Schizosaccharomyces pombe: one gene and its partners. Changing the gene in region 2 together with the main gene of any one other region gives a genetic interaction. Each region holds a gene or a part of one and is shown on either strand. Other genes may lie near its edges. The genes, in order: sap14, imp1, spo5 and nup61.

The links.
Region 1: mutations in imp1 (region 2) and sap14 together harm fitness more than expected from each alone (negative genetic interaction), as found in Schizosaccharomyces pombe (one large-scale study listed by BioGRID).
Region 3: of imp1 (region 2) and spo5, changing one enhances a phenotype caused by changing the other (phenotypic enhancement), as found in Schizosaccharomyces pombe (one study listed by BioGRID).
Region 4: of imp1 (region 2) and nup61, changing one enhances a phenotype caused by changing the other (phenotypic enhancement), as found in Schizosaccharomyces pombe (2 studies listed by BioGRID, with this or other methods).

Annotation. Positions count from the first base shown.
Region 1 is NC_003423.3:2,048,148-2,055,197, reverse strand, and holds sap14 (Pre-mRNA branch site p14-like protein), read left to right. Parts: upstream 1-4,429; 5' UTR 4,430-4,502; coding exon 4,503-4,746; exon of another isoform or gene 4,747-4,839; coding exon 4,840-4,940; 3' UTR 4,941-5,201; downstream 5,202-7,050. Other genes in the region: AAA family ATPase Gcn20, read left to right, coding at 1-984.
Region 2 is NC_003423.3:3,913,041-3,919,014, forward strand, and holds imp1 (importin alpha family nuclear import signal receptor adaptor Imp1), read left to right. Parts: upstream 1-3,514; 5' UTR 3,515-3,585; coding exon 3,586-5,205; 3' UTR 5,206-5,474; downstream 5,475-5,974. Other genes in the region: srb7 (mediator complex subunit Med21), read right to left, coding at 10-260, 313-342, 396-489, 531-572; exoribonuclease Rex4, read left to right, coding at 1,656-1,688, 1,763-2,512; F0-ATPase subunit atp4, read right to left, coding at 5,729-5,974. UniProt on the Schizosaccharomyces pombe protein: Functions as a component of the nuclear pore complex (NPC).
Region 3 is NC_003423.3:2,532,497-2,540,566, reverse strand, and holds spo5 (meiotic RNA-binding protein 1), read right to left. Parts: upstream 4,418-8,070; 5' UTR 4,347-4,417; coding exon 4,117-4,346; intron 4,069-4,116; coding exon 3,725-4,068; intron 3,670-3,724; coding exon 2,540-3,669; 3' UTR 2,313-2,539; downstream 1-2,312. Other genes in the region: histone H3-H4 chaperone, CAF assembly factor (CAF-1) complex subunit A Pcf1, read left to right, coding at 614-2,248; ccr1 (NADPH-cytochrome p450 reductase), read right to left, coding at 5,068-7,104. UniProt on the Schizosaccharomyces pombe protein: RNA-binding protein which plays a role in sporulation. Regulates the progression of meiosis I and may function in the vicinity of the Mei2 dot.
Region 4 is NC_003421.2:728,678-737,465, reverse strand, and holds nup61 (nucleoporin Nup61), read left to right. Parts: upstream 1-4,224; 5' UTR 4,225-4,244; coding exon 4,245-4,363; exon of another isoform or gene 4,364-4,415; coding exon 4,416-4,714; exon of another isoform or gene 4,715-4,762; coding exon 4,763-5,994; 3' UTR 5,995-6,595; downstream 6,596-8,788. Other genes in the region: ism1 (isoleucine--tRNA (Ile) ligase), read left to right, coding at 1,124-4,045; dom34 (translation release factor eRF1 family protein), read right to left, coding at 6,944-7,576, 7,625-7,731, 7,788-8,086, 8,147-8,200, 8,254-8,333. UniProt on the Schizosaccharomyces pombe protein: Functions as a component of the nuclear pore complex (NPC).

The DNA of each region.
Region 1 (7,050 bases), 1.9 Mb from region 2:
GATCGTTCTTTCTTGAATGAAGTTGCTACTGATATTATTCATCAACACTCTGAGCGCTTGGATTACTATAAGGGTAATTTTAGTCAATTCTATGCTACTCGTGAAGAACGTTGCAAAAATCAACTTCGTGAATATGAAAAGCAAATGGAATACCGCAAACATTTGCAATCATTCATTGACAAATTTCGTTATAATGCTGCCAAATCATCCGAAGCACAAAGTCGTATTAAGAAGTTGGAAAAACTGCCGATCCTTGAAAAGCCTCAAACTGAGGAAGAAGTTGAGTTTGAATTTCCACCTGTGGAAAAAATATCTCCTCCTATCTTACAAATGTCTGATGTCAATTTTGAGTATGTTCCAGGTCACCCTATTCTCAAACATGTTGATATTGATGTTCAAATGGATTCTCGTATCGGTGTGGTTGGTCCCAACGGTGCTGGTAAATCAACAATGCTTAAGCTTCTTATCGAACAACTTCATCCAACATCTGGTATAGTTAGTCGGCACCCCCGACTTCGTATTGCATACTTTGCACAACATCATGTCGATACTTTGGACTTAAACTTGAATGCCTTAAGCTTTTTAGCTAAGACATTTCCTGGCAAAGGTGAAGAAGAATACCGTCGTCATCTTGGCGCTTTTGGTGTTAGTGGACCTCTTGCATTGCAAAAAATGATCACGCTTTCTGGTGGTCAGAAATCTCGTGTTGCGTTCGCATGCCTAGGTCTACAAAACCCTCACATTCTTATTCTAGATGAACCCACCAACCATCTGGATATGGAGTCCATGGATGCCTTGACAAGAGCTGTTAAACGCTTCCAAGGTGGTGTGATTCTTGTTTCTCACGATGTTGATTTCTTGGACAAGACATGTACCAGTATTTGGCAGTGTGACCATAATGTCGTCTCCAAGTTTGATGGAACAATTTCACAATATAAGAAATTCTGTCTATCTCAACAGCCAACCATGACTATAAAAACTTAATGGAATAGCATAGACTTAAATAATAATAATATAGCTGGCGAGGATAAATAAAATCAAATTCTTTTATCTATGAATCTGGATAAAATATGTAAACGAAGTTAACTACATTTTATACAGTAAAAGACATGAAGTGTTAAATAAGATTAAAACAGTAAATTAATTATAGCTAAGTAAGTCATAACACGGTAATGGACAAGAAACCTGGAAAGCATGCAAATCATCAACCAACACCCAAAAAATAAAGAGAACAAACCCAATCAATTAAAAAGTAAAGAGGAGGAAGGGGAGAAGAGGAGAAAATAAGGCGGACCAAGGAAATCAATAGCAGAAAAAAAAAGAATATACAGACTAGTAAACAAAAAAAGAAAGAGAAAGGAAAAAGTTAACTCATTAAATTCGTTTAGGAACTTGACTAGAAAACCTCGAAGGATTTGGAAAAAAGGACATGGGAAAAGACGTAGGGCGAGAGATTGATGGAGAGGAGGAAGATGAAGGTTGAGTTTTGACGGCGTTGAACGATTTAAAATTCTGAGAGGTGAAAGACTTTGGAGGAAGAGGAATGGACGGATAGGTATTAGAGGTTAAAGGACGCTTTGTAGAAGTATTAGTAGCGTTAGAAGAAGAACGTCCAAGGGGATGCAATTGGGGAAAGCTCCGAGAGGATGAAGTAGCTGAAACAATATGACGGGTAGCAGAGCCTTTTTGAGAAAATCACTTTTAGCTCTCGCCATTAGAGAACTTTTTGGACAATAATTACTCATGGGACGCGGACGCTTAGGAGGCCGAGCAGCTCTAGGCTCACGCTCTAAAGGAACAATTCGCTTGTTTTGTTTACTTTGCTCTAGCTTGGTGTAAGCACTTCGAAGCTTAGCAGAAGCAACGTTATAATGAGCATTTCTTTTTTTCTTAAGTTTTCCGTAGAGCCCTCTCCAATCATCAATATTGTTCAATATAGTTCGTTTTTGAAGTTCTAATCCAAAATCACGCAAAACGTGATCTTTCCACAATGGTTGAGTGTCAACTTTCAAATGAGGCGACTTTTCTTCCAAGTCTATTAAATGTTCTGGTCTAGCTTTTTCCAGGATAGGTTTTACGAGTTCGAATGGGCAATCGCCAATATCATCGATGTCGTGCACATGCTTCTGCGCGACTTGGATGCACAAATCTTTTAAAGAATACATCGCTCATATGATAGTAATTTTTAAAAATTTCAAAGAAAACGATCGAATTAGAGCTCTATAGTCTTCAATTGGAAGAGTGCTTTTACCTTATTTGAATGTAAACAAAACCAATTCAACGGGGGAAAATGTGTTTCAAAGAAGGAAAGGTCCAGAATCTATCGATTAGCTAAATTCCTTTCCTTGTTAGTATATGCGTATAAAACGCGGAGAATCTAAGTGCGAGTAAAAAAAAATTCCAGATAATTGTTTGTTTCCGACAAGTTGAAAAAGACGGCGAAGCAAACCTATTTGTTCACTTATACAAATATATTAAAAAATAATTAAAATCTTTAATTTGTTAACTCGGTAAAATCGTTAAATTATCGCTAAATAAATTTATCGACCTTTATCAAATTTTCTTCATTCAATTTACGAGTTCTCAACCACCGTTTCGTTATAAATATTTGCGTATTCAACGTTAAAAACCGTAATTATCCTTCTTGCCTTTCCGGCCCAGTGGAAGTTCCAATGACGCCGCGGAAGGGCTGCACACCTCAGTAGCGAATATGGGGAAAGAGCAAATTCATGCTTGCCACGATGACTACCTGGATGCTTGATGTAGGTGACGTGTTACTTAAGATGAAAATGTAAATACAAGAGAAGAAATGGGTCAAGAAGGCGATTAATGGATGAAAAGAGAAATTATTCATAGAAAAATTTTTCCTTAAATATGCGCTTTTATTAATCTTTCGTTTAGGTTTTTTTCTCTCGTAAATTAATTCAGATATAGGTATTTAATCAACATTGCCAATTTCAACAAGTTTTAGGGGTTACGTGCAATAGTTTTATTGTTCTATTGTTTTTTAATTCTTCTCTCAATCCTAACTCTTGAAATTTTGTCGTACAAGACATTTTTCGCATTTCGTCAAGTTAAATTTTATGTTAAACTAGAGTTATTTGCGAATTAGGCTAATGAGCAGAAACCACTTGAATATACAAAATTTTATTTATTTATTTATTTATTTATTTTTTTTAAAAAAAGAGTAAATGGTAATTAATCTACTAGAAGCGTAAAAAGAATTGTTCAATACTTCAAAAAGAAAAATATGTATATCATATATCAAACCAGATTAGCAATCAATGCCAATAGCTTTATTCATTGAAAAAATAAAAAAAATAAAGAACGGTTATAGATGAGTCAATTAATTTCGTACTTTAACGTTAGTTGGTTTATTTCGTTTTTGTACAACATTATTTACTTTTTTAAATACTTAGTTCCTGCTTATCATAATGAATATAGCTAGCTTCATTAGTTAAAATTATTAGTATAGTTTTCGAAATTGTAAACGCTACTATAGTTTCTTTTTTCTGTAATTTCCTAAATTGCTTCAAAACAGCATTTGCAATGCAGCACATTCTCAATTAAGAGCAGTTGTAAGCAAAGAGCAATGAGAAATCTTTCAAATTAGATAAAATGAAGTACAGTAAGATCCACATATTCAACAAAGCTATCCTTTCCCTTTAGTGTCTCTGTTGCTATCACTTATATACGAAAGCATGGCATTGGAAGCGTAAAATGAATCATTAATTTTGCAGATGTAGTTTTCTGGGATCAGGAAATAAAAAATTTAAGAAATTTCAAAAGAACTTGAGAAGAAATTGATGAACTAGTTGGTCTGTAGGCAAAAGATCAATGATACCAAATTGTTTCCTTGATAAAAGTCCCATTGCCAAACAAGAGTATAAGTTAAAAGAAAGTAAAGAAATAAGGAAAAATATAAATTGATGATACAACTATACTATCAAACTATTCTTTGCAATTGTCAGTTTTAAAGTTGAAACCTATTTCCTGTAGGATAGACAAACGAGGAAGCAAAAAATACCAATAAAAATGTTTATGATTTTCAACTAGTTATGTATAATTTGAAAATCACTTTAAATTGACTCTCTATTGAAATCACCGCCATGTCAGTTTCAACTCTGATCAAAGATCTCATGAACTAAGGATTGCATTTGACATTTGGAGTTACCAGGTAAAAGAAGAGGAAAATTTTGGTAAAAGGTTGAACCGTTTTGTCTACGATCTGTTGGTCCATTCGATTTCCCAGCATATACCTCTTCTTGTCCAAACCACGAAACGTAACCTTTAATATTCATGTCTCAATCTTTTCTACTATAATTAAACTCACGTATAGGATTGACTATACAACATCAATCTCCAAGCTGTGATAACGAGTATTTTCCATCTGATCCCAACCAACCTTTTAGGAATATTTATCCTTTCCAAAGCAAACCAAATCATTTCTTTTCGAAATTTGATTTTTTTAACAAAAAGTGTTAAGATCGTAAAAATAACAAATGCCTCCATCTACAGTTAATCAAGAAGTCAATTCTATCCTATTCATCAAGAACTTGTCTTTTAAAATTACAGCAGAAGAGATGTACGATCTTTTTGGTAGGTATGGTCCTGTACGACAAATAAGGCTGGGGAATACGGTTCAAACAAGAGGTACTGCATTTGTGGTTTATGAAAACGTTCAAGACGCTCGTCGAGCTTGCGAAAAGCTTTCTGGCTACAACTTCATGGATAGATACTTGGTTGGTACGTTATCTTAGGGAATGTATTAGCTACTATTAATTTTAATTTCTCCTTTCTAACGGCTTTTTAATATCTTCTTGTTAACTTTTTTTTTAGTGCATTATTATAACCCTGAAAGAGCTAAGGTTGATGGTCAAGATTTGGCAGCAAGGTATGCCGCCTTGGAACAAGTTAAGCAAAAATACGGTGTTCAGTGAACGTTTACTATTTATTTACCAAAAAAAAACAAACAAATTAGGAGTCTGATATTGACTCCATTAACGTGTAATAGATTTCCTCTTTCTATAAATTCTGTTGAAGAGAACATACAGCAGAAAAATGAATCGGCTCATATTAAACAATCGTTTACTAGTGTTTCGAACCTAGGTATAAAAAAGGTACTATAAGGACTTGAATTTTATTATATTTCGCTTAAAGCTTTTTAGTAATAATAATGTAATGCATTGATCTATAATATAACAACGTCTACATGTAGTATTAAGATTTGAATCCCTAATAAAACGTATCCAAATTTGCCCAACCGTATTTCCCAATTAATAATTTTATCTGGCACAAACTTCAAATCATAATGAGCTAGTTTCCAAAGTCCAACCCTTCCAGCTTCATTACCAACACATAACTCACCACCCTTACCAAAAGCTAGGCATGTAACTCTGCCTAAAGGCGTAGCGCTGGTGGGCCAATTACGGAACACACTAAAGCTGGGAACATGAACGAGTCGTAGAGTATCCTTCTTTCCTCGAGATGCGATAGCTAAAACTTGACTATCTTGAGAAAAGCTCATACTATTTATGCTGAAAGTAATATTATCCAATGTAGTGACAGGTTTTGGTGCAGCGTCCGCATTGGATGTCTGGAGGTCATATATATTAACAATACCACTCTTGCTACCAATTGCCAAATACTTATTAGATGGGTCCAAACAAAAATGAGTGGTAGATACACCATCTTGAACTTGCCAACGACGAACGACTGAACGTTGCTCAACATTAAAATGCCATACCTCCGCACCATAACTAAGCACCAACATTTCCGACCCGTCAGAAGTGAACAAAACGTCGGAAAGTACACCTTCAATTTTAAAGCTTGTAGCAAACTGACCAGTAAGAGCATGCAGTAAATTTATATGGCCAGATCTTCCTTCCAAAGCAATGTACTTCCCAGTTGGATCTACGTGAAACCTTTCCATACTTGGCTGAAAGTTCTCTTGTCCATACATACGACTAACTTTTTGAACTTGGGCAGACTCCAAATCCCAAATGTACATGTATTTTCTCCGACCAGCAGCTATTACTCGTTTACCATCCGGATGAAACAACGCAGTTTGAAGAGCTGAAGAACGTAAATGCAAAGATGTTACCAGTGGATTGACTTTGCCATCAAGCTGATAAATGCGAAGTGTGCGATCAAAGCCACAAGTAAGCAAAAGAGGAAAATAAGGATGAATAGACATACAACGAATTCCACTGTGAGAAGGTGCTTGGAAGTTGGCATCTTTAAGCCGTTTGATGTTGATAGTACCAGGAGCAAGAAGCTTTGAGGATTGATTTATGTAGGAAACTGAAGATTTGAATAGACTCTTCAAAGATTTAGGAATGACACTTTTCTCCGATAAAGCATTAAATTCATCCTCTTCTTCGGTTACGTCTTGCTTTTTAGCCCATTCAGGCACTGGATAAACTCTTTCAAACTGGGTTCGTAACCTTCTGGCGTATTGAAGACCATTAACCATGTCTTCATCTTCATATTGACGCAATTTTCTTAATCTCGAGTGGTCCTGCAAAGATATCATCAACCGCTCATCGTCGCTGTCTTCCCAAATCGAAGGGATTTCATTACTAGCTTCTTCGTCCTCCTTCACCGTATTATCTCCAGCTATAATATCTAAAGGTACAGAATCTTTGGCTCCATCTGCTGAGCCAGTATCGAACATGAAAAGCTCTGCATCTTCCAGCTTTTCCAATTCATCTTCTTGAGCATCGTTATCTTCGCTCAATTCGGGAGCTTCGTTCATCATCACATCAAAAGTCTCATTCTCTTTATCTAAAAAGGAAGAGAAATTGTTAATGTTTCCGAAAACCGCATTTTCGAGCTCCAATTCCTCAGTATCTTTTTCCATTTTTTTAGAACTCGGCTTTTCCGCAGTTTTTCTACTCTTAGAGCTTATATCGAGAAAAGCATCTCGGTATACGGAGTTTTTCAAGTTATTTTCCTTACTTGAAGCCATCCGAATAAAAATGTTTAGATAATTATGTAGAGTTGGTTTTTGAAAAATTCACCCAACCTTCCATATAGCGAAATGCACTG
Region 2 (5,974 bases):
ATATTATCATCAGGGCTGAAATAGGACACATGATAACCGGCCAAATGTTTCAATCCTCTTGGCCAATTGTAATTTTAAATCTTCATTTTCTGATTCTAAACTCTTCCTCTCCAATTGTTTTTCTTCAATGGAGTTTTGTAACTTTTTAATTTTCTCTAATTGATGTTTTGGTGCAGTGGAAATACCTGGAAGTTGGTTGATCAAAGTGTCTATTTGCATAAATTTTGTAACCAAGTCTTTTGCTAGATCCCTTTGAGCGACTACAAAAAGAAGTTAGCACATAAAATGACTAGAGGACGTCTAATATCGTACATTGTAACTCTTCAGCAGAAATTGGGTTCACTAATAATTTGTTAGTAGCTACTTTGAATAGCATCATAATGAATCTTGTATACCTTTAGAATCAGAAACCTTTTCTTGACCAGGTAAAGGAACGAAATCATGATGAGAACTTAAATAATGAATGGAAGAGTAAAATTGTGTGGCAACCTACATAGGTTAGAATAGAAAAAGAAAACTAGTCCCATTACCTCATCAATTGTATCTTGAAGCTGAGTACACCTACATGCCATTTTTTTATGTAGGTGTAATATGAGTTAAAAAGAGTTGAAAGTCGCAAGTTGTTGAAGGTCCATGATGCAGGTAACAATTGTTGAAGCGCAAATGTCAAGAACAATAAATCGCTAATTAACTTTTCTGTTATTTCAGCATCGGATATTTATTATGCACAGCTTTTGATTTTATGACATTGTTTGTAATTGTAATGTATCGACCTAAAAACCGACTGTCTAGCAATCGGGAAAAAGAATTAAGCTAGAATCACGCTTGACATAAGCAAAAGAAATTTAACATAAAACAGTACATAAAATTTAAAAAAAAATTAATGGAAAGCGAAAAAAAATAAACTACAGAAACTACAGAATCAGCTAAGTATTTTTAATTAACATAGAAAAACAATGATAATAGTAATACATTCGACATATTTATTATATTTTTGATCGTGGAAGGGTGTCCGAGTGGTTATGGAGCTAGTTTAAGGCACTAGTGCGAAAGCTCGTGGGTTCGAGTCCCACCCCTTTCAGTACCTTTTTGATAATCCATTCATTCTGAGTGTTTTCATATTACGTGAAGGTGCATTGTTATTAAAATTGCAGTACTCTGCTTTTAAAAAGATAGCGGACAATGCTACAAATTCAATACAATCTATCCTTTTAAGCAAACATAAATCACTAAATGTTTAACGAATATGCTACTACGGGTCTTGAATATTCACAATATTCTTTTATTAGGAAATGCATTAACCACCGGTACCTTATAATATTCTTACGAAGTGGGTACACACTGAAATAGCTCATTGGTGACCCGAAGAACGGAGGTTAATTTATTTCATAGTCTCGTATATTTGGCAGTAGTTACATCAAGAAGCAACAAATGGTGCATCACTGTCAATATATGTATATATACTATAGATAAATAAATACAAGGCATGTGACTTATATAATGATACTTAACGTAACGTACTATCATCAACGCTTTATTCAAAATAATGAAATGTGCTAAAATGTGATAAAATATTTGTGATACCGCGTTGAGAATCATATTGAAAGAGGTTGCAAATTGCTTCTTGCACCAACTTTGGCTCTTATGCACAAGCAATGTCTTCTTCCAATTGGGAAAAGTTAAAGAAGGTATGAAAGGCTATAGTTTCCATTAAGTCATTTAAGATTCTTGTTTAAGTATACTAACGGTATTGGTTGTTTAGAAACTCGACAGCGCTAAGAGTGGACGGGTTGAAAAAAAGCATTCTAATGAAAAGAAATACCTTAAAAGTGTGAAAGGTAAAAACAATGAGAATGAGAATTCTTATATCGTCGATAAAAAACGCATGAATGAATTAAAGAAATTTGCTAAGGAAAATGATATCCCTGAATCTCAAGTCCTTGACGCATATGGCGTGGATGCTTCCAAGCTTACCAGAAAAACCAATTTGGAAACATTGGGGAAATATATTGCAATGGATTGTGAAATGGTTGGGGTGGCAGATGACATGTCAGTTCTTGCACGCGTCAGTATAGTTAATTATCATGGTCATGTCGTGTATGATACTTATGTCCGTCCTAAAGAAAAGGTTACGGATTGGAGAACATGGGTCAGTGGTGTCAAGTCATTTCACATGCGGGATGCACCTTCATTTGAAAAAGTACAAGCAGAAGTTGCTAAGATACTCGACAATCGAGTATTGGTTGGACATGCTGTCCATAACGATCTCAAAGTACTACTTTTATCGCATCCAAGAAGAATGATTCGTGATACCAGCAGATTTTCTGGGTATCGGAAATTAGCCAAGGGAAGGACACCAGGGCTTAAAAAACTTGCTGAAGTGATTCTTGGGCGTGACATTCAATCTGGACAGCATTCTTCCGTCCAGGATGCCCAAGCAACGATGGAATTATATAAGAAAGTAAAAAAAGAAATGGATGAAGTTGCATTCAAAGGTTTGTCAAAGTCATAAGCTTTGAATCACTAGACTTCGTTCTGGTCATTTGGGATTTGGGTTTAATAATATGCAAGAAAATGTTTCTTATAATTTTACTGGATATGTGTCAGATGTTAAATATATTTTCGGTTGCTTATAACAGCAATATTGTTTTCATTGGCTCTTATGAAATCGTTGGTTTTCTTTCTTTATTTATCTCTTCTGTTTCCTTCGTTTCTGGTTTTAAATAGTCAATCTATTAATAATTTTTAGTATAAATAAATGATGCATACAACTGAAGGAAAGAAATAATGTATGGAAAAAACAAGGATATAGAGATTTATCAGCTTCGTTTATATGGTCTTCATAATTACTTTGTGAATTAATAAAGTTAATGTTATATAATTAGATTACTTCCTATAGTGTATATGATTTAGAGCATTTTAACTGAATGACGATAATATGTTTTCAAGCGCCGTTAAGTTAATTCCTAAATTTATATAAATACCGAATTAATCTTTATTATCACAAAAAAAATAAAAAATATATATATTAATAATAGCTACCAAATAAATTCTAGTTAGACAATGGACCATTAATGTATACATATTAATAGCTTACAAAACAGATACGGAAGTGTTTGAAAAATAAGTATTTATTCAAAGATTAAATTGCTCAACTATATGTATTATATAATCAAAATAAAAATAAAAATAGGCCAACTTGACAGGTTGTTTAAAGAAAAATTCCATTTGTTTTTAAATTTTGAATTCTTGTTATAGCATTCAGCTTGTTAAAAACCCAAGAAAAATTGGTTGATGAGCTCAATAAGCATGTTGTTTTACCCGTTTTATGGTGCGAAGGTTTCCAATGACAGAACAAAAATGATCTAGAAAGTTTCAACGATTTGAACCGGAAAATGATATATTTCAAATTATTCTAAATTTATTATTTTTGAACATTGTTACCTGGGTGCCGGCTGCTTCTTGGAACGACACAAGTGCTCTTTTACCTCCTTATTCTCATTAAACTCGCAGCAACCACAACTGTCTTAGATAACTAAAAAAAAAAGAGTAAAAAGGATATCAAAAAAGTTTATTCCTATAGAAATGGAATCGAGATATTTATCAGATAGAAGAAGCCGTTTTAAAAGCAAAGGTGTTTTCAAAGCTGATGAACTTCGTCGGCAACGTGAAGAACAGCAAATTGAAATCCGCAAACAAAAACGTGAGGAAAGTTTGAATAAACGAAGGAATTTAAACGCTGTTTTACAAAATGACATTGATGTGGAAGAGGAGGCTGATCAGTCTCAGGTTCAAATGGAGCAACAAATGAAAGATGAATTTCCTAAATTGACAGCTGATGTGATGTCAGACGACATTGAGCTACAATTAGGTGCCGTCACGAAATTCAGGAAATATCTTTCTAAGGAGACGCATCCCCCTATTGATCAGGTAATTGCTTGTGGTGTTGTTGACCGGTTCGTACAATTTTTAGAAAGTGAACATCACTTGCTTCAATTTGAAGCGGCTTGGGCCTTAACAAATATCGCTAGTGGTACCACAGATCAAACCCGTATTGTTGTTGATTCCGGCGCTGTTCCTCGTTTTATTCAATTACTTTCTTCACCTGAAAAAGATGTCCGTGAGCAGGTTGTATGGGCCCTCGGTAACATAGCTGGCGATTCTTCTGCCTGCCGTGACTATGTACTCGGTAACGGAGTTTTACAGCCTTTACTTAATATTCTTCAGAGTAGCGCTTCTGATGTTTCTATGCTCCGTAACGCTACATGGACACTTTCTAACTTGTGTAGAGGCAAAAATCCACCACCTAACTGGTCAACTATTTCTGTAGCCGTTCCAATCCTTGCTAAGCTCCTTTATTCTGAAGACGTTGAGATTATTGTTGACGCGTGCTGGGCCATCTCCTATCTTTCTGATGGACCTAACGAAAAAATTGGCGCCATTTTAGACGTTGGATGTGCGCCCAGGCTTGTTGAACTTTTGAGCTCTCCCAGCGTTAATATTCAAACTCCTGCCCTTCGCTCTGTGGGGAATATAGTAACAGGTACTGACGCGCAAACACAGATCATAATCGATTGCGGTGCTCTCAATGCATTCCCTAGTCTTCTCAGTCATCAAAAAGAGAACATTCGTAAGGAAGCTTGTTGGACTATTAGCAATATTACTGCTGGCAATACCCAACAAATCCAAGCAATTATTGAAAGTAATCTTATACCTCCATTGGTCCATTTACTCTCATATGCCGACTACAAAACAAAAAAAGAAGCCTGTTGGGCTATTTCTAATGCTACTTCTGGCGGTCTCGGTCAGCCTGACCAAATTCGTTACCTTGTGTCACAAGGCGTTATTAAGCCACTTTGCGATATGTTGAACGGATCCGATAATAAAATTATTCAAGTTGCTCTCGATGCCATTGAAAACATACTTAAAGTTGGTGAGATGGACAGAACTATGGATCTTGAAAACATTAATCAATACGCTGTCTACGTTGAGGAAGCTGGCGGTATGGATATGATCCATGATTTGCAATCCTCCGGAAATAACGATATTTATTTGAAAGCGTATAGCATCATTGAAAAGTATTTCAGTGACGAGGACGCAGTTGAAGATTTGGCACCTGAAACCGAAAATGGCGCCTTCACATTTGGCAATGGCCCTCAAGCTCAAGGAGAATTTAAATTTGATTCTCAAGATATGGCTATGTAACGTTTAAATTAATTTTAAAAAAATTTTTTTTGTTCTAATCGAAGCGCACATTATTTACATGTTTCACTTAGACAAATTCTGTTTTCCATTACTGGTGCTTTTGTTGGGTTTGTATTTCTTTTTTTTACCCTCTATTTTTAATTCAATTTAGCTATTTGTGAAGCTAAGTATTTCTATTAGGATTAAAAACTACGGTTAAATAATATGTTTACGAAAAAAATGAGTGTACTACTAAAACAGAGCGGTACAGGTAAATAGCATGATATCACTAAAAATGTTTATATTCGTAAGAGCTGCAACTAGGCAAAATAGAGAAGGGGGTTTAGGATCAAAGAAAATAAAAATAAAAGAAAGCAGCGGGGACGATATACACTGTTAGGTTCAAATGACTTCGACTAATCGGTGAATGCAATTTGAAAACCAATAATGACGCAAATTTTTGCTAATAAGCATATATGCAAATCAAATATGACTGAAAAAAACTGCAGCTGTCTTATCGTATTATGTCCCTCGAAAAAACAATTTAGGCACTAGCTAAGACCTTTTCGATTTCACCGAGACTTTCATTGAGAGCATCCTGTTGGAACTTTTGGGTAGAAACTTTGCTGTTGACACGAGCCAAGACATCTTCAACGAGACGTTCCTGTTGTTCAGCGCGAACGTTGGCTTCGTGATGAACCCAGCTATCCAACACTGATTTAGCTTCTTTAGCTAAAGCAACTCGCTGTTCGAGCTCAAAGATCTCAGCCTCCATACGGGCAGTTTCTTT
Region 3 (8,070 bases), 1.4 Mb from region 2:
ATATTATCCTTCCAGCGAATTACTATTCTAAGCTGCATAGCCCCTGCCTATATATGTACGATGCATCGTTATTGAAAGAAGTTTGCTGCATATAAATAGGAAGAAAATTGATGATAACAACATCCGTTTGTTTCATTATTAATGAATTTGTGGTACTCCAATCACCAGTTAAAAAATATGGCAAATAATTTCAAAGAAAATTCTCGTCAACTGATATTAACTCAATCATAATATAGATGAGCCATAAAATATTAACATTAATATCGTAATGCAATGTAGCAGTAATATTATATAATCGTAGTCAGGTAAAATATATAACAAATCACCATATTAACCCATTCGCAAAAAACTTTGATGTTTAAGCTACTCAGATCAATCAGTACATATCTTGTTAGAACTAAGGAATTAAATTATTCAATTATATAAGCGTTAAGATGGATGAATAATAGATTGGTGAGACAGATTTGGGATAGTGATGTATATAATAGAATATTAACATATAATTTACGAACTCTCCTTTATCCTCTTTATTCGATCAGAGCGTCCGTTAAAACAACTTACGCACGGTTTTTAGCCTCCCTTAGGCTTGTTATTGATATTCGCAGCATTGTCTATGAATAGTGAAAGTGTTGATTCAGATGTCGCGGCCTCTACTAGTAATAAGGGAAATGAGTTATGTAGCTCTTCCACTGACATTACGTCTTTATCAGTGAGTTCCCCGAATGAATCGGTTATTCATTCCAGTCACTCTGCAAGTGAAGCTGATGAGTACGTTTGCAAATTAAGTTATGAGGGTAATAGAAAGAAAAGAATTTATAATGGCTCTGCTGAAGCGGGTAAAGAAAAGAAGCTTCAAAAACAGCGGGCCCAAGAGGAAAGGATTCGACAAAAAGAAGCAGAGCGTTTAAAACGTGAAAAGGAACGTCAACAACGAGAGCAAGAGAAAAAGCTAAGAGAACAGGAAAAAATCGCCGCTAAGAAAATGAAAGAATTAGAGAAATTAGAGAAGGAGCGGATTCGATTGCAGGAACAACAAAGGCGGAAGGAGGAGAGGGATCAAAAGCTTCGTGAGAAAGAAGAAGCACAGCGCCTTCGTCAAGAACAAATCCTTAATAAGGAAAGACAACAATTGAAGTTAAACAACTTTTTCACCAAAGGAGTTGAGAAACGAATCGCGCCAAACGAAAATTTTGTAGCTGACAAAACGGATGAACTGAATGAGTTTGAGAAAGAGTTTCGCCCTTTTTTTATAAAGCATCAGATGTCCCTTTCCAAATATCCATCTCCGAACGAATCTGATTCTTTTTTGGATGAAGTCCTCTCAACCTCTAAATCTTATCCTTTAAAGCTAAACGACATTTTTACACCATCAGATGCTGTAAGCTCCGCAAACAGTTTAGGTGTTAGTAATAGAAATTCCGAAAACGAGGTTCGACAATTAATGAGCGCATATCAAGATCCATCTGTTTCAAAACCTCAAGAAATTTTATCTTGTTTATCACAGATTCCTATTAAATTCATTTTCTTTTATCAGGATGTTCGCCCTCCATATTTTGGATCTTACACGAAAACCCATTCCCATGGTTCTAACGTTTTATTGAATCCCTGGCTTGAAGATGAAGACATAGACTACACATATGATTCAGAAGCAGAATGGGTAGCTGATGAGGAAGATGATGGAGAAGATTTAGAAAGTGAAGATGAAGAGGTAGATAATTCCGATGATATTGTAGAGGATGGTGATAATGCTTTTGTGGATGATGAGGATGATGACAAGGATAGTGTCAATGCTTCTAATACCCATCGTTCCTCCGGCCCATTAGAGGTAATCGTAGAAGGTCCGGTTTGGGATTCAAAGTTTCTTCCTGACTTTAATTGCTTATCTTTAATTGAACCCATTAGTTCATTTTCAGCATCTACATATCTCCAAATTGATCCTAAAGAGGATTTATGGGCTTCTCAAGATACTGCTCCAGCGTCTAGTGGAATGACAATTGGACCTACCAGTTCACTTTCTGATGATTTACAAGTAAGGTTTCCTTCTGAAGATATACCCAAATTTATAGAATATGTCCGTAACTCTCATGACAACAAAGTATTCCTGATCGAGAATTTGAGGCACATGTTTCCTTACGTAACCAAAAATATTATCAGCGAAACTCTTGGAAAAGTCGCTGTGCGTAAAGGAAAATCAGTATCTGATGGTTGGATAATCAAGGAGAATTTTGCATCCCTTTTATCCTCTTAATTCACAGTGTGCAATTATCTTGAACACTCAAGGACTATTTATACCTCTCTCTTTTTATACGATTAAGCAAATATGTATAATATCATTCATTAATACTGTAGTGGTTTGACCTTTGTTATATAACCTGATAATAAATAAAAGAAAAAACATAGAAAGAAAGCTTTGGCCCTTAATTGTAAGCTTTGTCTAACAGGTTTTATGTTGGTTTAAGTTTGAGTATGTGATAAGTGTTTGAAAAGATTTCGATATTAGAGTTTGATGTTCAAGTAAATGCTGGAAAGATGTTTAAATTTAATTAGCAGCAGAAGTAGCGGGATGGGCATGATATGGCGTAGTACTTCTGCTGTTTTCATAGTTTGAGGGATAAACGGAATAAGAGGGATACATACTTTGCCAACCGTAAGTATCATAAGTGGGTGAATGTTGATAGACTGTGTTCGACTCCAATGGCACATACATTCCAACTTTAGAGGGCATAGAGTTATTTGCGAACTCCTCAACTTTGGAAAAAGCATTATTAGCTGTCATTCCCTTAGTTAAAACACTGTATTCACGAGCACGCCATAATCTTCTTTTCTGAGTCTGACCTTTAAACTTCTTCTGATCAGTGGAATCAGCAAAACGGATTTGTAATGGGGGTAAAGCAGGATCCAAGACAAAGTTATTAAATTTATTAATTATGTCTTCAGCCGTTTTACGATCTTGCATACGAGCAAACCCAACACCTCGAGATTGTTCCTTAGAGTCACGAAGTACGCGGTTTGATATGATTTTGCTGGGTTTAAACAATGTGGAAATATCACTTTCATTCCAATGAAGAGGAAGATTAGAAATATACAGATTGGTGCTTTCTGTGTCTTGTAGACTTTGAAGACGTGCACTGAAACTTTCTTTTGCAAATGAACACTGATATCCACATAAAGTCATGGCTGAAATGCAAATCAATGCAGATTTCTCTTCTTCAAAGCATGCAAACCCATATCCTTTACATAAATTCGTTTCCATATCAATTATTGCTTTGCTGCTACTAACTTTACCAAAACGATTGGTGTAAAGCAACAAATTTTCATCCGAAGTGTTGGGAGGTAAACCACGAATGTAAACATTCCGAGTACGAGAAGTGCTTTCCATGTTACTTTTTTTATTATCATGAGACATGGGAAACATGCTGGGAATGGCAGGAGGAATTGCAGGATGCAATCCAACCAGTTGAGAAAGGTAATTTGTATTCTCCTTTGTTGTACCGACACTCATTTCTTGATTAATGGCAGCGGGAATATTTTTTTGCCCTTGGGAAAAAGAAGGCATCGAGAGAGAAACTGAATTCGTAGGCACAGTCGCTGAAGGAACTGGCGCGAGATATGTTGGTTGATTGACAATATGAAGTCCCGGCTGATTTAAAGAGGGCATTTGAGGATATACTAAAAGACGAAAAGTTTGGTAAGTATTAGTTTTTTCATAAGCTGTGTATCATACCATTCTGAACATATGGTTTTAAATACTGATGAGTATTGTTAACATGATAAGGGTGAACAGACTGATGAGTCTGCCATTGTGAACCATAGCAAGGAGCTACAGAATTGAATGCAGGACGGAATCCAGAGACACCCGGTCGATTGTTGGAAATGGCTTGTGACTGTGCATAGTATGACGGATAATAAGAGTTGGCATAGTAGGCGTTTTGTTGTGGCAGTGTTCCATTATTAATATTGTTATTTGCATATGAAATAGGATCGGTTGTCATAACGGTTGATTGATCAGCAGCACGCCTATTTAAATACGCGGCCTGTGCTGCTGTAGAATAAGTATTGTTTTTTATACTATATTCCTAGTTAGTATTACATTACACATCTGTAATAGCCCTTTACCTGTTTGGCTTCTTGGAAAGCCCTAACTCGCTAGAACCAGGCGTTGCGTTTGGGCTTGTTCCTGGTGTTAATAGTATAATTGTAGAGTCCAATCCTTCACTTTTTTTCGTGTCATTGACATCCACAGTTGTTTGACTTGTTGGAGTAGACAATTCGGTAGTGGATAATGGATCACGAGAAGGAGAAGACATTAATTGTTTTTGTTTTTGAGGCGTAATTATTCCATTCATCGCTCTTATATGCTTTAAGTAAATAATTTTTAAATTATGTATACTTTAATGTTTGAATATATGTTAAAGGTAAGTTTTTGAGCGCGCGAAATCTGTTAATAAACAAATCAAGGATAGCATTGTGTTGCATTAGATTTGATAACGTAGAAAAAAAATACACTTAAAGGCTCAGTTTTATTATACAGTTAGGATACATGTATTAATTATGCTTGTACTTTTGGAAACTTAACTTTTCCGCATATTACTCAATGTTTTGCGTTGACAAGTACACATTGACCGAGGATTTAACTTATAGCATCCTGTACTCTAACTTGATGCGTGTATTTTTAAAGCAAAAAAAGAATTATCAAATACTTTCTATTGTATGTAAATTGATCAAACATTCGCAATCGCCTTAATTATTGAAGTGCAATGAAGTCGACTGCCAGTGTTTACTTTGTTACCCAGCTTTAAGTCGGTTTAGGTTTTTCAATCATGACAAACACAGCACTTTGTGTAGATTCGCATTTTCGGTAGACATTTTTGAGCAGTAAGAAATTCAAGTTGGCAGTTTATTTTTGATATTATAACGTTACAGAGTACTGTTCGTTAGTTGCTACAAAAACTATGTTTTCTATAGATAAAAATACCGAGTGGAATAATGATTGTATTAAACTATTTCTAAGATGAAAAGGCATCATTAAGTCTTGAAGTAATCGCAAAGTCTGGATAAATTCCAAACTTACCAGGTATCTTCAAAAAATCTATTGTCATCTCGAAGAGCTTTAACGGCTTTCATACCGTCAACATCAACAGTGGTCAGAATAGAAGCCAATGCATTCACAACATCTTTAGCCATATGATCAGCATCACCGCAGATATAAAAAGCAGCCCCTTCTTCTACAAGTTTAGCAATGGTATCACTGTGCTCTAAAAGACGGTGCTGAACATAGATTTTATGATCTTGCTCACGGGAAAATGCGGTAATCAGTTCAAAAGAGTCTTTCAAGACATCTTTGTATTGTTGCCATTCTTCCTTATATAAAAAATCCTTGTCAGAATATTGGCAACCATAAAATAAAAGTGTTTTTGCTACTTTAACTCCTTTAGAAGCTAAATTAGCCCGTTCCATCACAAAACCGCGGAATGGGGCTACACCAGTACCCGGGCCTACCATTATTATGGGGACATCGGGAGGAGCCAATCGAAAAGTAGATTTCTTTACAAACATCGGAATTTTTCCGGTCCAGTTTTTACGAGGACCCTCAAGGGTATATTCCAAACCATTTGGATGTGGAATTTTTTCACCGTGCATATGACGACAATGTGCCAACAAATAATTAGTAGTTAGTCCATAAAAGATATGATTCTTATCAGTCCATTCTTTCTTGTCAACTACCGCTGTAACGTGAACTTTGTCAGGATGCACTACACTGCTCGAGGAAATCGAATAGTAACGCGGTTTCATGTGTGCCATATTTTCCAATAGCATTGAGAATGGAAGTTTTGTAAATGGAGCGTCAGGAGAAACACGACGAAGGACTTGAGCAAGGTTTAGGTGCAAGTCTACAACGTTCTTCTTAAAGTAGTCATAATCGTTGCCTAATTTCTCGAGTTCTTGCTTAGATTCTGGTGTAGGAGCGAAAGGAGCAATAAAAGAAAGCAGTTGCCTGGAGACGATACCACATATTTCATAGTAGTAGCGAAAAACAGTGTCATAGGTAGTAGGACTTAAAACAGGAGCCTTATCGAGAGTATCGATAGGTTTAACAATTATTACAGTATCCCTCTTCTCTTTGAGACCGAGAACTTCGAGAAGATCATCAACAGCTTGACTAGGATTCATAGGACAAATAGAAGCGTAATCACCTGTTTGATATCGCATACCAGAGTCTGCGATATCCAACTCTAAATGTAAGCAATTACGACTTCCAGATTTGAATAGCTCAAGAGATCTGACAGGAGAAGAGAAAAATGGATTAGCTTGAGAACGTGGAGCTTTCGATGCAACATTTCCTTTCAATTGCTGACGACTTGGTTCTCCCAAAAAGACAGTAGAACTAGTGTTGGAAATTTCAGGCTTCTCAATAACTTCAAACATAGGATTGTATTCCTTGTGGACTTCTTGCAAATGGAACAGCTTACCTATCTCAGGTAAAGTATCATCCTTCCATTGTAAATAGTCCTCTTCAAGCATACCAGCGGCATCGTCGCCCAAACCTAGATTGCCCACACGAGTAGCGCCTAAACGAGTCATTGCAGCATCTACCTTTTTAGCCATTGCGTTATAATACTCATAGGTATGATTTCCAAGGCCAAAAATTGCATAACGAATTCCTTCGAAGGGAGTATCTTCAATGCCTTTTCCACTTGAAAAAACGGTATCATCGCCCTCAAGAAGTTGCAAAAAGGCCTCCGCATTGTCCGTAGGTTCACCTTCACCGTAAGTTGCGAGAAAGAATACCAATAGTTTTGATCTATCAAAGTTGTCCAAGTCGGTTAAATCATAGTTCTCAAGATCGAAAACCATATTGGTAAGATTGAAGTTTGCCTTTGCTTCCGTTGAAAAACGGTAGGCAAAGTCCTCAGCGGTACCAGTTTGAGATCCAAAGAAAACCGCGGCAGTGAGCTTTTCGGCCTCCATCAACTCGACAATACTGTCGGTAGCCACGACTCGCCTCTCAGGAGCCTTTGGCTTGTTGAGAAAATTGTTATAAATAAAGTAACACAAGCTAAGGATCAAAATAATGACCAGCAATACATATTCATAAGTCTTCATAATGCAAAAAATATAATAACCAAATTTTACGAGTGTTCAACTTCGGGATTTAATCCGCCTTTTATTCCAAGGGTAAATGTGCGTGTAAAAAACGAGTGAGTCAACAGAATTGTCTGATGATAGGCAGATGCGAAATAAAGAGCGAAACAGTACTATGCTTTTTTAGCTTGAACCACTTTGAAGCAGATACACTAAAGCGCGAGACAATAAAAATGAAGAAACTCAAACAAGGGTTTCTATAGCCTCTTAAACAAAAAGTCAAGTATTTATCCAAATACTCTAAAGAATCTATAAAAATCAAGATGAAGTATGTAGGCTAAGATACTTAATTAATGAAACAACTGCGCTTTATATGATGAGCACAATAACCATGCCAATTGAACAATCAAATAGATGCTAGAAAGCTTCTAAAGTAATTGACTTCAAAAAGCAATCCTTTCGGGAGAAAAGCTAATTGTTTTGGCAAACGCTAATACCTGGTCGCTGGTAACTCCTGCACCTATATACTGCTATAATATAAAAAAAAAAAATATAGTTCGATTTTTCAATGATTACTTTTTGAAAATTTCTATTAATTAATAAAAAACTATTTAATAAATTCATGTATTAATTTTGGTTAATTAGCATGTTCAACGAAGTTAAAGTTTGACAGATATAGATATCCAACATATGTAGTAAGTATGGATGGAGAGATAAAAATGGGAATGGGAATGAGAGTATTTTTAGATAGAAATAGTGTGACGGCAATCGTACAATAGTTAATTTATTGTGGCAAGCCATCGCAATAACAAAATACCTCGGGAAGAGAATTAAGCGCAATACGAAATTATGGTAAATCGGCGATTCTACTAGTAGGTGTTTATTGTTTTACTAATTATAATGACGATCAGTAAAAAGTAGGTGAGCTTTGAAAAAACCGTTGCTATACACTTTAGGATTTATTTTGACGAACCAATTAATATGGCT
Region 4 (8,788 bases), on a different chromosome or scaffold from region 2:
CAACTTTTCGGACAGCCGAGTGTTTTATAAAATTTCGTTTGGCTAAAAACCTAATTTTAATCTTTTATTAACCCAACTGGTTTAAAATTGCAACTGTTAGTTGGCTTAACAATCTCGATTGATTTGAATGGCACGGGCTATTTCTTCTATTGCCTTTGTATAAATATCACTTTACTATTTTTATACAAATGGAAAATTTTTATCTGTTCTGTTGGTTGCTCGCGTTTTTGAAAATGCTATCTATTCAGTGTGTTTTAAAAGAGCTGTCAAACAAACGAAATTTCGAATGATCTGTAAGATGCTTAGATGATTATATTCTTGATATTATTTATTCATGGCTATCTAATGAGAATAAATCCCTTGGTTACTACTTTGTTATTTATATGGAAGATTTGGCTGCTGGATATTACGTTAGATATAATATTCATGACTTAAAAAAATAAAAAATAAAAACAATAGCTACTTTGGGTTCGAATACGTAAACTTAAAAAGCTGATACAATCACTAGAAAATAATAACCATAATAAATGCTCTTCTGTAAAATTTTCCTTTTAAAAGAAAAAACTATAGATATCTTTCATGAAAATGCTTGCCTTTACTTTTCATTAGCCGAACCATCTGTTACATCTATTCAAACATGCCCTTTGTTTAACCCAATTAGTCTCCAGATGTTTTTTTTTTCTCTGTTTAAGTAAAGCACAACGTCTAGGAGAACTATTTAATTAATGAGGAACCCTTAGTAGAAACTCGTATCTTGGTGCTTCAGAGAAAGATTGAGTAATGCTTCAATGATACAATGAAATAATGAGTTTTTTTACTTTTTCAGCTCTTAAATTCATATACTTTTTAAACAGTTATGTGATAAATCATTATTGATCCAAGGAAACATTCAGTCCAAATTTGCTGTCCACATGCTAGCTTCGTTTGTGTATAGTATTTGAAATAATGGCATTTCTATGCATTGGACCGGTTTTACGCCTTGGCACTTCAGACTACAGCTATAGTTACTACCAGTACAATATACGGAATTGGGACCGTACCCACGAGGTTACCAATTCCCAGTTTGGTCGACATTCATTCCTATATTCGTTTTATGCTCGGATTATAAGGAATCGTCGGACATATGAAATTTTCATATATAAGCAGTTTGCCGAAAGGCCATAACCACATTTGTTGTAAACAAGCAGGTAGGTTTCTCAGCAGTCAGGCGGATTTGAAGAAATATTCAGAATCACTATGCTTGCCAAAGACTTCGTTTCCTATTAAGCCAAACGTTAAAGGAAATAATGAAAAGTATTTCAAATCCATCACATCAGACCTGTATGAATGGCAGAAGGAGAATTTGAATAAAGAAGATTCTTTCGTGCTATTAGATGGGCCTCCGTTTGCAAACGGTCGACTGCATATAGGTCATGCTCTAAATAAGATTTTGAAGGATATCATCAATCGTTGGCAATTGCTGAAAGGCCGTTCTGTGCATTATGTTCCTGGTTGGGATTGTCATGGTTTACCAATCGAGTCAAAAGCTATTAAAGCAAACGCCGAGCGTAAAAGTTCTCTTGAAATTCGAAAGATTGCTAAAGATTTCGCAAATTCGGCCGTTCAAGAACAACTCATGATGTTCCAACGTATGGCTGTAATGGGAGATTGGCCTTCTAGGTACATCACCATGAGTGACAAATTTGAAATAGCAGAGCTTAAGGTTTTCTTAAGTTTGTTACAAAAGGATCTTATATTTCGTCAAAATAAACCTGTTTATTGGAGCTCTTCAAGCAGGTCCGCTTTAGCTGAATCAGAAATAGAATATGATGATAATCACGTCAGCACGTCTATCTACTTTACGTTTCCGGTGAACAGTTTTTCTATCGATGGATGTGAATACAATAATGTAAAGGCATTAGTTTGGACAACAACTCCCTGGACCATTCCTTCAAACCTTGCATTATCTTACCACCCTGAAATCAACTATGGTCTATACCAGCACAATAATTCGATTTATTTAATGTCTGATAATTTAGTTCCAAACTTGGATTTTATGCAGGGAGCTAAGCGTCTTGCGAGTTGCCCTTCAGATATTATTTCATCATTTACATATGAGAACCCTCTATTACCGAAGCAAAGCTTTCCATTTTTACAATCTAACTACGTTACTAATGATATCGGTACTGGTATAGTACATGTCGCTCCTGGCCATGGAATGGAAGATTATCTTCTAGGACTGGAAAACAATTTGCGTCCTTTTTCACCACTCGATGATTATGGTCGATACACTAAAGAAGCTTTGGATGGAAGCCTTGAAGGATTGGAAGTTCTTGGTGATGGAGGAAAGAAAGTAATAAGTATTATGAAAAATCAAAATATGATTGTTAAGGTCTCTCCTTATAAGCACCGCTACCCTTACGATTGGCGAACACATAAGCCATTAATTTTACGGGCGACCCCTCAATGGTTTATATCATTGGAGAATGAAAGGAAAACTGCCATAAAAGCACTTGATAGTGTAAAAATGATTCCTCCAAATTCGCGCGCCAGACTTCTTGGTTTTTTGAATGGCCGTCCTGAATGGTGCATTTCTCGCCAACGGGCATGGGGTTTACCCATTCCTGTATTGTATGAGAAAGGAACTAAAATCCCCCTACTAACTGTGAAAAGTGTATCCTATATCATTGAGAAAATGGAAGTAGAGGGAGTTGATTCTTGGTTTAATGATACTGAAAACAATGGGCATGCTCAGTGGGTTCATCCGGATTACAGAAATAAGGAGTATATTCGTGGCACTGAAACACTTGATGTATGGTTTGATTCTGGGACTAGTTGGACTACAATAGCACCTCGTAAGAATAAACCGCTCATTGACCTTTGCTTGGAAGGAAGCGATCAACACAGGGGATGGTTTCAGTCACTTCTTCTCACATACACTGCCTACCAATCAAAACCAGAAGCACCGTTTTCTACTTTGTTTACGCACGGATTTATCTTTGATGAAAGAGGTCAGAAACAATCCAAGTCTTTGGGCAATGTAACCGACCCTGAAGATGTAATAAACGGAAAGCTTTTAAAAGGAAAAAAGCTTCCATATGGTGTTGATTTACTGAGACTTTGGGTTGCATCATGTGACAGTACGAATGATACTAACCTGGGACCGAACATTTTGACGCAAGTTGGTGAATCCTTAAAAAAGTGGAGATTAACATCCCGATTTTGTCTTGGGAACTTACATGACTGGAATACCTCGAGCTCAGTTGATGTTGGTGAATTACGTGGTATTGATAAGTTGGCTTTAGTCCAACTAGATAAATTTCAGACTGAAATTCGAGAACTTTATGAATCATATTCAATTAACAAAGTTGTTCATCATCTCAATTATTTTATGAACTCTTTCTTATCCTCTACATACTTTGACGCCGTAAAGGATCGTCTGTACGCTGATTTACCCAACAGTGTATCTAGGAGAAGTGTTCAAACTGTCCTTTATCATTCATTACTTACGCTCATTTGGGCCATTTCTCCCATTACTCCACTTTTGGCACAGGAGATTTGGCAAAGCTTACCCGATAGTTATTTGAATTCTTCTTACCAAACTCCTTTTCACGCTGGAGAAACACATCTTATAAGCAGCTTAAGGTCAAAAGTTGATTTACTTGATAGAAAATTTTTAATTAAGGAATACTTGGTTCTTCAACAACTTAAGTATAGTATTAATTTGTTGATTACCGCAGCTCGTGAAAATCTAACTATTAAAAACTCATTAGAAGCTTATGTCGTTATTAAGTCAAAATCTCAATCTTTATTGAGTTTTTTAAAAAATTACTCTTCCGACCTTCCTTTTCTGTTCAATACATCGAAGGTATTTATTAACGAAATTCCCGAAAATCTGAAATTAGCTTCCGTTACACAACCTGAAGTTCAGTTGGATTATGGGGTTGCAAATATCTCTTTATTTTTTTCAAATCAACAAAAATGTCTACGTTGCTGGATGCATACAGCTCATGAGGACGGATTATGTGACAGATGCGAATCTGTTTTGGCCCAACTGAAACGCTAAGAAAAAAGCTGAACGCTCTTTATTATGATAATTTTTGTACCATAGTCATTTATTTTTGTAATACTTAATTAAAATCAAGCGACAATTCATTTTTTGTATTATTTTATTTTACTGTAACATTAGTAAATAAGGAGACATAGTGAAGGCCATAAGTTTGGGTGGTTTTGGGGCTAACAGTTGACCTTCGCAAACTAGCAAAATGTCAAAACGCGGTGCTGATCATCAGTTAACTAAGGATCAAGATGATTCTGATGATGACCGTCATGGTCCAGTTGAAGTTCCTAAGGAGGCCTCCGCAGACGTGATGGCCACAAGAAAGTATGTAACGATGAAACATAGTTCTTCAATTTTTTAGGTACTAATGTATTAGAATTGCAAAGCCAAAATCTAGAAAAAGACCAACGAGCGGTGTTTCTTCTCCGGGAATTTTTGCAAATTTGGCAGCAAAACCGGTGTCTTTACCTGCATCGACTACGCAATTTACATTTGGAAAACCCGCGGTTACAGCTAATAATGATTCAGATATTCACTTGAAAAAACGCGGTCTTAATAAATCATTTATTGACGCTGTTATCAAAAGTGTTGACAATAATCCCTTTGGTAATTTGAGCCCTCTGTTTGATGAATACAGGCAGCATTTTTCAAGTATAGAAAAAAAGCCAGCAGAAGGTAATGCGTTTATAGTTAGTACTTCATTTCTTTCTAACGTTTTCTTAGAACAACCAACTTCAAATGCTGTTGTGTCTGAGGTAAATCCTCAGCAACAAAAAAGCCAAGATTCTTCTTCTTTTGTTACAGAAAAACCAGCTTCTTCAGAAAAAGAGGATAAGGAGAAGCCCCTTGTTCCCCCCGGTGCTCCTAGGTTCGGATTTTCTGCTCCAGCGCTTGGTAGCTCTTTCCAGTTTAATTCATCGGCTTTTACTCCTAAAGGGTCATTTGGTGAGAAGTCCGCAACAGAAGCGGAAGCGAAGGAGAAAGAAACATCTTCTAATCAAACTGCCACTGGTACTGCCGCTACCACAACCAACCAGTTTTCATTCAATACTGCCGCTAATCCTTTCGCTTTCGCTAAGAAGGAAAATGAGGAATCAAAACCATTAACTCCCGTGTTTTCTTTCTCAACGACTATGGCTTCTGCGGATGCTTCAAAAGAGACCAAACAAACCCATGAAACTAAAGATTCAAAGAGCGAAGAATCTAAACCCTCGAACAATGAAAAATCCGAGAACGCCGTTGAACCTGCCAAGGGAAATACTATGAGTTTTTCTTGGACTCCTGATAAGCCTATCAAATTTGACACACCTGAGAAAAAATTTACATTTACCAATCCATTATCGAGCAAAAAGTTACCGGCCTCTTCGGATGTGAAGCCTCCTAGCGCTGCGGCTGTCGGCTTTTCATTTGGAACTACTACTAATCCGTTCTCTTTTGCTGCTCCGAAATCTTCTTTTCCTACTTCTTCTACTCCAGCTTCTGTTGGCGCTGAAAAAAGTGAAGAAACTTCTAATGGAAACAAATCAGAGCAAGAAGAAAAGGAAAACGGAAATGATGAAACTCGATCGAATGATTCTCTAGTTTCTGGTAAAGGAAAAGGCGAAGAAAATGAAGACAGCGTATTTGAGACAAGGGCCAAGATATACCGTTTCGATGCTACTAGTAAATCTTATTCTGATATCGGGATTGGTCCATTAAAAATTAACGTAGATCGTGACACTGGCTCTGCTCGCATCCTTGCGCGTGTCGAGGGAAGTGGAAAACTTTTGTTAAACGTTCGTTTGTGCCAGGATTTTGAATACAGCCTGGCTGGTAAAAAGGACGTAAAAGTACCTGCTGCTTCTACTGATGGAAAATCAATTGAAATGTATTTGATTCGTGTGAAAGAGCCTAGTACTGCGGAAAAGTTATTAGCCGAATTGAATGAGAAAAAGGTCTCAAAGTCAGAGAACTAGAAAGCAGTGATTGATTCAGTCACTATTTATTCCTTTATTTTTGGTCTATTAAATGTACATAAATCTAATAAATTTTTCGGAAATATATTGTCAAGATTATCAATTTAATACTGTCATTCGATTTTCATTTGTGGATAGGGATATACACAATCAGTCTTTTACGAAATGTGCATACAAATATGAAATTCCCGGAAGCATACATGCTCTCCAAGTACATTGCCTTTATGGAATATTAAATTGGTTAAGCTAGTCATATCTTTTCTTTTTAAATTTACGCAGAACATCAAAGTTTTACGGAACTGATTTAATTATCCTAATTTTCATCTTATGAATGATTGATAAATTTTTGAGTGAATTTTAAAACTGTTGTATATCGCCAGTGATATATCTTGAATTGATTGATTCAATAATCGGTTTCGTTATTAAATTACTTTTGTCTATATATTGGTTCCGGATTTTCAAACACCTGCCTAGCTTTTAGAAGGGTCAAACCCCCTTATTGAATAAGTATCTTGGCGCGAACTTTTAATAAAATAAGCAAGTAAATGAGCCACTATCAATTTCGAATTGTTAGTTTTTTGAAAAAAGTAACTTCAACAAATACGTTTGTAGCGAATTTATCGCTTAAAGTTGATTTTTTTACTGTAATTGAATACTGTATTGGACCGGCTATAATTAACAGCTTAATTTTACAAGTTAAGAGTTATAATCGATAAGTATAAATCATTTTAGGGTATCAATTTTTGACCATTCTAACACCTAATTTTTTGCATGTTTATCATAGTAAATACCCTAAAACATCCAAGTAAAAGCATAAATAATGACTACCAAAACGAGCCCATAAATAAATTTTTTAAGAGAATGAAACAAATTGTTCTAACCGAGCTTAAAGTATGAAATATTGGCTTAGCAATAATTAGATTCATGACAATTCGGATACTGATGAACTTTAACTATGTTCAAAATTTTGGGATTCCTCATCCTCTTCATCTTCTGATATATCCTCTTCATCGACTGGGTAAGTGAGAATGGCGGCAATACCTGACAACAGATCCAGCTGCTTCCCTGACTCATGCAAACTACTGAAAATATAAACAGGACAGTTAATCTCCTTAACACCTTCTACTAATGAAACCCATTTTTTTCTAGTAGCAATGTCAGAACTCCTGAACAGAGAATCGCTAATCAGAAGTTCTCCGATCGCGCCAAGTTCAAAAGCCTTCAAAACATGATTTGGACCATACCATGCCTTTCTATCATCTTCATTCATGACATCGTAAAATTTATTCAGAACGCGAATTTCTTGTACGTATTTTGTGTCGGCTAGTTTTGATTCAACAGCAGGGTCCTTCAAAATTTCATTAAGGGAATGAATATGACCAGTGCTAGAATGAAGGATGACAAATTTATTCTTTGATTTAACAATTTGTTTCAAGTCTAACTTCACGGCCATGCTGAATATGTAGTCATACAAGCCTCGAGCCACAAATCCTGGTGAAGCAAGAATAACGACTTTCAATTTATCAAAATCAAATTCTGAGTTAATGGATTGAAAAACAGAGTCATAAAATTTATCAAGGCCCTAAAAAATTGATCAGTACGGACGAAAAATCAAAGTCTAAAAATTTACCTTTTGGTAAGCGCTGCTGTCCCCTCTCCGTTTCCTTGGAATCACTTGATCAATCCTTTGACGCAGGATGGTCATATAATCTGTAATGAGACAAATATTGGCAAGACCTGCAAGTCAGTAAACATGCACGAACTAATAAAGCGATGTAAGCCAAGAAATTTACCTTCATCTAAAACCACAGCACCTATTTCAGCATTTCTTGAAGGATTACAAGCAGCATCTACACGGTCCAATGCAAATGCATCCCATTCATTTTTATATAGAGTAAAATTGCGATGTAGTTCTAAGTCCAAGGTATGGTAGGATCCCATCTTAACTTCAGGATGGTATTCAGTTGTCCGTCCTTTGATGTGCAATTGAGCAGCCTTTGTATCAAAGTCCATATTCTCAACTAAAATACGTAGTTTCATCACAACTCTTGAACCTGACGTACTTCCTGTAGCGCCAACTTTCACTACACGACTAAACAACAGAAAAAACAGGTGTTATTATCGAACATTGAAGATACACTTTATTTCATACCGAACTGTAGAAGCCTTCAGCTGATCTCCAACTTGAAGAATATTATACAAATGCCTAAACTAAGTTAGTTTGTGCATTGATTGCAGATATACAGCAACCAGGCATACCACATATCTTCTGGCTCTTCAGGGCACATGGTTATCCATCCGGAGCCATTTTTTTCGATGTTTTTTTGAATCAACTTCATATTGAATGTGGTTGACGAAGAATTTAAGTGAACAGGAATTTTTTAGGCTATTTTGACTGACATAATATCTCGAAATTTTATTCTATATAATTATCCTTTTTATAGTAATAATTGTTCAAGTCATAAATATGAGTTCTTGACAAAAGTATTTTGCTAACGAGGTAGTGGTATTAATACTTATTGCCATAGATAGTCGTGTATATGAGCAAACTGTACAACAATTTGAGTTGGCCATATACAAATTCATATTCTTTCATTTACTAATAACCACCCAAACTAGTTAAAATGCCTTAAAATTTTTCTCTAAATGGGTTTGCTCGGCATTCCAAACTGATTAATACTTAAACTCCTGGAAAAGACCATAAAAGACTTTCTTCAATTAAAAAAAATTTTATTTAAAAAAATTTCTTCAATTTACGTTGAAAACTGTGATATACCAATGTTCACCATACACG